Linked DNA regions of Drosophila melanogaster. The protein of the gene in region 2 interacts with the protein of the main gene of each other region in a biochemical or structural test. Each region holds a gene or a part of one and is shown on either strand. Other genes may lie near its edges.

The links.
Region 1: the proteins of Ptp99A (region 2) and nerfin-2 form a complex in vitro, tested with the Drosophila melanogaster proteins (one study listed by BioGRID).

What each region holds. Positions count from the first base shown.
Region 1 is NT_033777.3:10,069,201-10,074,452, reverse strand, and holds nerfin-2 (nervous fingers 2), read right to left. Parts: upstream 3,337-5,252; 5' UTR 3,279-3,336; coding exon 1,806-3,278; intron 1,746-1,805; coding exon 1,555-1,745; intron 1,424-1,554; coding exon 1,000-1,423; coding exon of another isoform or gene 760-999; 3' UTR 692-759; downstream 1-691. Other genes in the region: Alp13 (alkaline phosphatase 13), read left to right, coding at 1-431, 499-593.
Region 2 is NT_033777.3:29,375,585-29,380,883, reverse strand, and holds the start of Ptp99A (protein tyrosine phosphatase 99A), read right to left. Parts: upstream 3,239-5,299; 5' UTR 2,860-3,238; intron 1-2,859. UniProt on the Drosophila melanogaster protein: May play a key role in signal transduction and growth control. May have a role in the establishment of the intersegmental and segmental nerves.

The DNA.
Region 1 (5,252 bases), about 19 Mb from region 2:
GATTCAGCGAAGGGATGAGCTGGAGTCCCTAAATTCTAGTAGTTTTGATTATTTAATGGGTGTGATGGCCAATGGAGATTTGAGTGGTAATTCAAAGGCCCCAAGTCTAAAATTGATGGTCGATAAGTCTTTGAATGTTCTTACTAAATATAAACAAGGATATCTACTCATAGTGGAGCAATTTATACCATCGGGTATTGACAAAAGAGAGCAGTTGCAGCTTTTGAATGATACTTTGGTTAATCTTCACAAAGATCAGGATACTTTAACTCTTGTTTTAATGACCAATGCCATTTATCCAAAACCAAGCCTGGATGTCAGCGAAGAAACCGAGACAATCAGCCTTCTTCCGGAGATATTTAATGAGGCGGAATCTGAGATCCAAAAACGACTGCACCAAATGCCATCTGAAAGCTTACTTTTTGCACAGGGTGAGTAACCTATTCTACGGTATCCTAGTTATATTTATTAATTTTATTTATTAATAACTATTTCAAGGCCCCAAGTCCTCAATTTTTCAAGGTGTTCGAAAAGAAACCTTTCTGGCACATGCAATATCCCATGTCCTTAGCAGAAGTAGAGTTCGACCTTAGAATACTATTCACATGTATATGTAATAAAAATGTTTAGGTAAAATGAAATGTGTTTAAATAAAATTTCTTTAGCTGTCAGCCCGAATAAAAGACGTCCTTATAATTTGATTGATTTATTAAACTTTAACTAGAGATCGTTGATTCAATGCTGCTAATAGTTGTTAAGTCACATGATAACATTTCCGCCGGACTCTGCAGTCGTCGCCGTGGCAGTTGCAGTTGCACTTCCCGTTGCAGTTGCACCTGCGGTCGACGGAGCCACCCAATTAAAGGCGTGGCCAACGGAGGACACTCCTGCGGCAGTTGCCGCTTGCCTTGTTGCTGTTGCTGCCGCTGGAGGTCCCGTTGCCGTCGCTGTTGCCGCAATGCGTGGCACCGGCCGCAGGACATTCGTATTCGGATTGGGTCATTTGACGGGCAGAGGAGGCATCAAAGTTTGGGCCACATTGGACAGTTGCCTCAGGTGATTGGCCTGCACGTATTGGAAGGCCGAGGATCGTTCCAAGTGCTGCGATAGGTAAAATTCCCCAAGAGAGTAGAATCGACGCTGATCGAATGACTGAAAGGGAAATCCCGGAAAGCGTTGTCCACCCGGATAGTTCTTACCACTTGGCGGCGGGTACATGGGCATGCCAGGCGGTGGGCGTGGCAAGGATGCATAGGGAGCGGCAGATGTGACCGCCTGTCCAGTTGTATGCTGCAGCTGGACATGATCGGCCAATTGGTGGCCATTGATGGTCAACTGCTGCTGCTGGGACTTGAAGAAATCCAGATTCTTGAGATTATCCAACATCTGATGGGAGGCCTGGTGTTTCTTTAGGTAAGCTTGACTGTTGTTTGTGGAAAATAAATATAAACATTTCAAATTAACTGCTTAAAAATATTTAAAATTTCAACTTTTTTAAATACCAAATAACTAATTAAATTGTATAGTTTTTTTCCGAAAGTCTTACTAACTCACCGTCGAAAAGTCTTTCCGCATATATGGCAAGGATAAATGCCATCGCTGGCATCATCGCCGCTCCTAGTCGCCTCCTGTACCAGATCGCCCGTTTCCACAACTCGTTTCTTGGCGGGATTAACTCCAGCCGCCTCCGCTTTGGGCTTGTGCCATCTGCGATGGGAGGCCAAGTTGGCCGGGCAATTAAAGACCTGCAAAGGAAAAAGTGTTTTAGTTGCCTGGAAAGCGAATCCTTCCTTCGGACCACAAACCTTTTCGCACTCGGAGCACTTGTACTCGATGTGAACGATGCGGGGACAACGGTGCTGGGCCAACATAAAGGCATCATCGTAGACAGTGCGACAGAGCTGGCACATGTAGTCTCCAATCTTGTTGTCAATGCTGGCCAGGATGGCCTTGGCCTCCTCGGTGATTTCGACCACGTTAAAAGCCGGATCAATGTCGCCTTTGCGCACCACCAGCTCCTCGTCGTCGCGCAATTTGCGAATGATGGTGCCAGAAACTGGACTTATGGTCTCCTCATCGATGGCCATGTGTTTTCGTAGCTTCGACCTCCTACGTTCCGCCTTGTGGGGTCGAGATATGGGTGGAGGCGGAAGTGGAGGTGTAGCAGGGATTGTAGAAGTCGCTGGAGGCGGAGGAGGTGGAGGAGGCGGTGGAAGGTTGTCGGAACTGGTAGTCCTAATCTCCGCCGTTGCCACGCCACTCAGATCCGTGTATGTCTTCCCGCTGTTGCTCTGGAGTTCCGCCAAACCGGAAACCTCCACATCTGGCTCTGGAAAATCCCGGTCAAAGAGTCTGGCCAAACCATTTACCGCCTGGTTGTGCAGCTCCTCATCCTCATACAGAAGTTCATTGCGTTTCAGGGCCGTGGTCTCTATTAGTTGGGCCTGCAATCTTGTGGCCACCAGGTCCGTCGCCTCATCCTCGTCATCGTCACTGCCCAGGACATCGACAAACACCTCTTCCTCATCATCGTCGCCATTAACGCTGACTTGTACCTGCTGCGTCTCATCGTCGCCCTCGTTGACTTCCTCCGTGTCCGTGGCGTACTCATTGTAGTCATGGGAACTGACAACTGTTTCATCCTCGTCCTCGGTCAGCACAATGGTCTCATCTTCCACGTAGATGGGCGAGCTGACGCTCGATTGACCCGCCGGAATTTGCTCAAAGTTATTTTTCGTCCCGTGAAAATGACTTTTATTAAAGGAAGCGCCCTCCAAGCTGCTGCGTGTGGCATATGGCTGATGATGTTGCTGGTGTGGTAGTTGATGTTGCTGCTGCTGATGATGATGAAAGTAGCCCGGCTGCATTGCCAGGCTCGACGGAACAACTGGAGCTGGAGCTGCAGGACTCGCCATGTGCGGACGCCACAGGTAATTCTCCTCGGACATTAATCTCTGGCGCTTGCGAGGCGGCGAGGGCGTTGAGGGTGGAGTAATTGGCACTACACTGGCCGCGGCGCGCAATGAAAGATCCAAGGGGGAGAGCAGCGAAATAGCCGGACGATGCTGGCCAAATTGCGGAAATGTCTCGTTGATTGCTGGTAATGCCCGACACTCGACGAAGTGAGTGGTGTCTGGGTGGCCCTGGAGCAGGGCGGGCAGTGGCTGATGCTGGCCAAGATGCTGCACCGACTGGAGATGGGACTGCGGTTGTGGGTGTGGATGAGGATGTGGGTGATGGTGCGGGTGCGGGTGCGTCGGCGGATTCATGTTCATCATTTTTCTCCCCTTTTCTATTGCGTTGTAACGTCAACTTTCTGGTATTTCATTTGAAGTCAGTAATCACTCCTATTCTTGCACAATAAAGTGTCAAGTGTTATAGTATTGGGCTTTGGGCTTTGAAGTTAACTTAAATAAAGTTTCTCAAATAAATAGTAAATCCAATATATATATATAAATATATATATAAAATGGGTATTTAATTATAAAATTAAATTTTTAATAAAACATCAACTATTCTAAAAATGTACCTTTTGCTTCATCTAACACTTGATATGTTTGATTACTTAATGCACTTTGATAATTTATTTTTTAACTATCGTCGTATTTATTGTGTTTTTAAGTGTAGCACTTCACATCATTTTTTGTTGGCTTGCTCTTGTTTCAAATATTCAATGTGTATTTTGCACAATTTCAAAAATTTCGTTAGATATTCAACTTTAATCGGGAATCACTGAAAACTGTTTGGTTAGCCCAAGGTCTATGCAGTTAACTTAAGGGTTTTCCGTGACACGCAACTGACCCGCGGCAGGCTTCAAAGAGAACTGAACGGCGGACGGTCACCTGTCGCAATGCTGCTAGCTGAAATTGGGTTTGAATGCGAAGCCAATGAAAGGCAGTAACCACCACCCAGCCACCCAACCACCCTCTCTCATCCACTGGACACCCGCATTATTGAACGGGATGTGGATGTACGGCTCTCGCTCGCACCTTGCGGCGGAATCCTGAGCGGCCTGCTCTGGGATTCGCCGGGCGGATGACATAGCTCGACCATCCCACCCCCGATTCACCCACGCGCACGGTAGGCGCATGCGCAGCCACGCCCCCTGATGCAGGCCCACGAGGGGGCGCTGCATAAATGTATCATCTGTTGCTCCACTGGGGGCACGCTTATTGGCAGCGTCCTGCAACTTGCCACGCCCCGTCCAAAGCCCAGAATGGAATGTCATTGAATTGTAGATGAAGAATTTCATTGCACTACGTTGGAGTTTAAGCCACCCATTCCACATGACTTTTGTGGGTGGCTAGCTGTGGGGTGTGGAGTGGTGTAAATGGTGTTTGTGCTTGGGGCGTTGACAGGTGAGTGCACCTTTTGTTCCCAGACCCATGTACCTTCCATCGGCCAGAGTTCTGTTCTTTTACTCCCCCTGGCATCATCATCATGGTCAGCGTTGTTCAGACATTTTAAGAACCAAAGGATTCTTTTTGTGGTTTTGAAAATTTAATGCAGCTCCCCTCTGGCGATTCAAGTGAATTTTCAAAATGGCGTCAGCTTTTGGCCAAAAAATTAGGTAAATCAATGGAATTAAGCCAGGGCTTCAAACACGTAAAATTTTATACAGCATGCTAAGAACGTTCTTTTAGTTTTCTATATAAATTGTAAATGTCTTTAAAATAATATAATAGTGAGACTTAAGATAAATTTTAATAAATATTCCATTTTATAAAAATTATAACATAACGTGATTTATACTGGCAAATCGATAGTAAAAGTCTGACACTCGAGTTATCTTTCGATATCCAGACCTGCCTTTAATTGCAGCTGAATGCAATTAATTAAAGAAACGGTCTACAAAAATCTAATTAAATTGTTGCGTCGCGACGCCATCGGAAAACAGGCTCGTGCGCTGCAGCAGAGTCAAAAACAATTCCGACTAATAAACTGAAATTAAATTACGAACTTTTATACTCCGTCGCACAACCGAACGAACAAGTGGCTTCCCAGCCCCATAAAGAAGGTTAAAAACTGTGAAAAAAAAATGTAGATGGCTTATTGTAGATGGCTTATTAAGTTTTGAGCCTGGCCAAGATCTGTTGTGGCAACGAGGTCAACAAGTTTCAGTTTGCGGCTTTTCCTCGCCCCCGGCTAATTGTCAGCTTCTTGGGGGGCAGCGGCAGCTCATTAGCATAGCTCCATGGCCTTTGTGAATCCATCCATTCGCCTGCTCCTGACACTCGTCCAAGGAAATGTTC
Region 2 (5,299 bases):
AGAGTGGCGCAATGTGCCCGATGGCAATTAAAGTGCCTCGGAACTTCTACTTTCTACTTCTGCTTGTACTTGTGTTGTTGAGCAACATTTTCTCAATTTTCCACATAATTCCAAACGCAGTGCAGCGCCATCGTCGCCCAGCCCGTTCTTTTTGACCATTAGAAGTAGTAGTGGCAGTTGTCCCCTTTGGGTCCGCAGACAGTTCCGAGCCGCTTTCATGCCCGAATGCCCATGCCCCATGCCCCATGCCCCATGCCCCAAACACAAACACAAACGCAAACGGCGAGCGGAAGGCAGTGAGGAGCGTTAAGTAGCTGGATGTCAGTAGCCGATTTGCAGTTATGACAGCCCCACATTCCCACCACCAACTGCAATGCTGCTCCCCTTTTTGGGTGGCAAACTTTAAATTAAACAGCAGCAAAAAGCAGCGGGATGTGACTTCCAGCACAGCGAGAAAACACGAGTATGCAACGCAAATTGATCAATGCTACACAGATATGTGTCTAAAGTGTATCAGCCGTTCACAATTGCTCATAAAACTTTCATATTTTATCACTCGTTTATGTCCTTTTTTTTAGCAACAGGAAAGCCATTATGTTTCCACTTCACATGCACATCCATTTCCCGCTTTCGCAATGATTTATGCACATTGGGAAAAATAATAAAATGCATAAGAATATTATGAATTATAAAAGATAATTTATAAAAATATAATTGGTATTGCCCAACTGTATAGATCAACATCCTAATATGCAGCTTATTACCTCTAATTATTTATTCTTTTGTTCATTGTAAAATATTTGATTTATTGTTTGAATGACTAAAAGCTTGTGATTTACAATTAAAATAGATGCTGCTCTGACTCCGTTTTCTCTGTGTATGCAAAAAAAAAAGGGACGGGGCGTCAGTGAAGAGTGAAAAAATATGGCACTGCATTTGGCATGAGGCACGGGACACGGGGCATGCGGCTTCCAGCATGCAGCACGAGGCAGGCAACAAGCAGCCCGGGAATTGCCGGAGTAGAATCATACAAAATATTCAGGGAGCAGCGGCAAAAACAGCAACATCAGCTGGAAACAGCAGAGCAACAGAAGTTGTAATTTACAGCTTATTTACGTTGGAATAAAAAATGAATTAAGACAACGAACCAGCAGCATGACAGCAGCTTCCTCCACGGGCAACTCGCAAAGGTAAATGCATAAATAAATCAGGCAAAGTCCAGCAGTAAAAAAAAAAGGTGGAAAAAAGTGAAAAGCGTGGGGAAAGCGGGAAACGAGAGGGAGCGGGTAAATGTAGGAGTATAATTAAATGCTTTGACATGAAAGAAAAGCAGTCAGCTAAATGGAAATGCTGGAACTTGGTTAATTAGCACGGCCAGAGGTGTCGCCGAAGTCCTTGCAGGACTCAAACTTCGAACACATAGATCGAGTCAGCTTCAACTTCAACAATCAAGATGTATATTTCCTGCAAAAAAAAAAAACTGGTCACAACATCGCGCACTTGCTTCTGTATACACTTGCACCGACTCACATAGATGCGGATTATAATGCCAGACGGCGGCTCACGATGGGTGTGCAAAAGTAGAGAGAGAATAGAAATAGAAATAACAACTGCAGCGGTGGAAGCTTAAGTGCAACTGCAGTGGCTGTGCGGCTCAAGTGTTGCCACAAAGGGGTGGGCTTGCATCCAGCGACAACAAGTTGCACGCCTTTGCTGCAAGTGCGACTGCAATTGTTGCCGCATTATAAATTGCAGAGCTGCAACAATGAAATTATTATACGACGAGCAGCTAAATGTATCACATGCCAGCCACACGCCTAATCATCTTGTAAGCACTACTGTAAAAAGGACACTCGACTAATTCGGTTTGGATGCCCGAACTGCTGGCTGAATTTATATTATTATTTGCTGATGTTTGCAATTTGGGCACGTGCCGCAAATTCCAAAATAGTTGAACGTGTGCCACACCAGTCGAGCCAGAAATCCGGCTCCACCAAAAGGTTAAGCACAAACACTCTCGATTTTTTTTCTTTTTGGTGCAAGGGGATTCGACCAAGGACCAAGGACCATTTTTGCGCTCCGCTGGCTTTGTTGACAAACACATTTTTTGAGTGGGGCAACATAATGCGAGAGTGAAGTGAAGTGAAGCTGCTGCCGAAATCAGCGCAAATTTAGTGGCAAAGCAAATAAATTTAGTTTAATTTTGCCCAGCCATTGTTGTTTATTTTATTTCATTTTCATTTCATCTTTACTGAAGTCGCTGGCTGGCTGGCTTTTATTGCCCCAACAAATGGCAGTCGTGGCATTAGGAAAAGTGGCGCAAAAAGGGTTTCACTCGTTTTGGCTTGGTGTTTGTTCAATGGCACATACAGTCGATCCGATGGCCCTTTGTTTGGTCCAGTCCCGAAAAGTCCCAACTCCCACTACCAGCGAATCCTAACAATAATGTCGGCTATTAGCGGCAGGGCATGACCGACCGAATCCCGGGTCAGCAGTTTCAAATAAAACTTTGCGCCAGAAAGGTTCTTAATTTTGGCTCGAGATGCCAAACCGATTTTTGGGCCAGAACAGACCGACTAACCAACCAACGATGGGCCCACGACACTCACTAATTAAACTAATTAACTGAGATGGTCGAGGGATAAGTTGGCTAAAACATCGCTTCAAGACGCAAATTGAAAGGGAAATCGCTTAGCGAAGTGGGTCAACATAAATCCAAAAGTCCGCCCCAAAATGCAAAATGCTAAATATGCTGCAGTACGACGACGAGTTTGGAATTTTCACCCAGTTCTCATCCAGTTGCCTCGATTTCGAATCGTTTAGTTATGCTTGTGGGTCACCAAATCTGGGGATAACCACCTTTTTGCTGTGTTTTATTTTCCGCAACGCAGGACCTTCTATCAGTTAGTGGTTTATCCTCGAGATCGTCGGTAATTGGGATCCTGCTTTCCGAATCCAAGCACACGAACACAAATAAAAACTTAACACGGAACTGGACAGCGATTGCCGCATTTTATTTTTGATTTTCTCTCAACGCTTTATCAATATGCATGATTATTATTCTGGCATTCACTTGAGCTATTCGCCTGATTTTCAAGCACTTTTCGTGGCCCGTTTCGGCCGCTTTGGCTGAGATACATTCAGCGTCAGGATAAACGCGCACACACGCGACGCGAACGCACGAAGTCCGGCAGCGCCAGCGGACACATCCTTACGAGCGCACAACAAACACGAAACTGAGCCGCTTCGTTTTTGCGCAAATAAATTCCCAGCTGAAAGGCAGAAGCCGCCGTTGCCGCTGCCACTGCCGTTGCACCACCGCCGCATCCCCCGGAAAACCCCTCCAGAATAGAAGGTCGGTGGTTCGTGGCCGACTTCGGGTTTCCAGCGGCTTTCCACCACACACACCGTGTGTGTCTCCCGAACTTCTTTGCGAGCTTCAGTGTGTGCTGTTGCCTAGATTTGTGCGCGGGTGGACGCCTCGGCTGTCGTCCTGCCGAGAGCGAACGGACTCACGCTCTCTCATTGGGAGAGCGCTTGTTCCACTTTCAACTCCGAAACTCACCATGACCAAACTCCGAATTGCGCTGGCCTTATCACTGATAAGAGACGCGCTCTTCGGCGGCCACGACCTGCTCAAATCGCTCAGGTGTCGAGCGTTGCGGCACAAACAGAACTGAAACGTTGGCAGCAAGTGTTTTAGGAATTTCTAAGGCACTACAAAGAGGTCCTGGACGGACCGCAGTTAGCTTCGGCCACACATAGCAGCTCTTTGGATGAAAACTAATTTTAAATTTAAATAATATGTTATATAAAGTCTCTTATAAAGGAGCTAAGCTTCAATTAATTTTCCAAATCTTATAATCCGCTTATTTCGATTATATTCAATATTCGAAAAATATTTATAATAATTTATTGATTTAAATTTCTTATAAAATAAATCATAACATTACATTTTGGAGTTATTCACAATCAGTGGACGTTTTTACTGTTGCCAGTTATTTGAACAGTAAAAATGCTTAACATTGGTAGTACATTTGTAGTAATGTTAGAACTCTTCAACCGCTGTAATGTCTGGAAAAGATTTCGACCAAAATCATAACCCCTGAATACTGAATACTGAATCAGTAAATTGTTGTTTTTGCCTTGTCCTGTAACCGAGTGTTTACAGAAAATTCCACCGCAAAAGAAGGTTTCCGTAACATTTTCGAAAATCACCCCTTGGTCCTGCGCGAATGTTGTTTTCATGAGTTTGTTGGTCTACATTCGAACTGAGTCAACGTTCTGTTAACGCGTTGAACAGGCTAGGGAACAGAGGTCTACTCTAGAATGTTAGTGCAATGTTATTGTCCTAAATTTGGAAAGGGGTAGAAAGCGAACCATTCTGCTAATAACATTCGCAAAAAGGACGCCTATAGCTATGGAATAAATAACATTCGGGGTTAATCAAATGATGTGAACCTGCAGTTGAAGGAGAAATTGTGTTGGTCTATGTTATGTTTACATTACAGACTTTTTCTACTTTTAATTTTCGAACAACGTTAACAAGATATTCGAATTGAATGTTCTGTTAATGCGAACATTACATGGGCATGTTATTTATAACATGGTCTGTAAAATAACTGTTTGGATTACATAGTCCTACAGCCTTGTTAGTTTTTTCTTAATTTAAAGTCCTTTAAAAGATATCTTTTATCTTTCAACTAAATATATTCTAATGGTATTATTTACCGTCAATTTAATTGAACATAGAACACGATTTCTTTCGCATTAAATTTGCCATCTGACAAAACTGCCAGTCCATCGCAATAATTTGTTGTGCCGATCAGCGTGTTACTTCCGCAATTATCCCAGTGCCTCAGGCACCTGCCCCTAAACGATGTCCACACCCCTCGAACCGGTCAATTGCCCACAATTTAATGGCCATAAGGAGAGTAAGGGTACCCACCCCAGCCAGCCACATCCTGATGCAACTAAAGATGCGACAGGACGAGCTGAAAAATCCACCCTCGAGGAAGTCGCATTGCAATCGTGTTCGCAGTCCTGTAATCGCAGGCACTTCTTGTTGTTGCCGTTGTCAACGCCTCTCTAAAAGGGAGCAAAAGGCAACATCAAGGATCAACCCCTAAACTCAACCAGCGACGATTTATAACAAATTTTAAATTGCAAAAAATTGCAACATTGATGAGGGATTGCGATCTGGCATCGGGCGAAACCGAAACTAATTCGCAACAAGCGCAATAAAAATTATGAACAATAGCGGAAATTAGCCATGGCATCGGAGGGTAGGGAAAGTCAC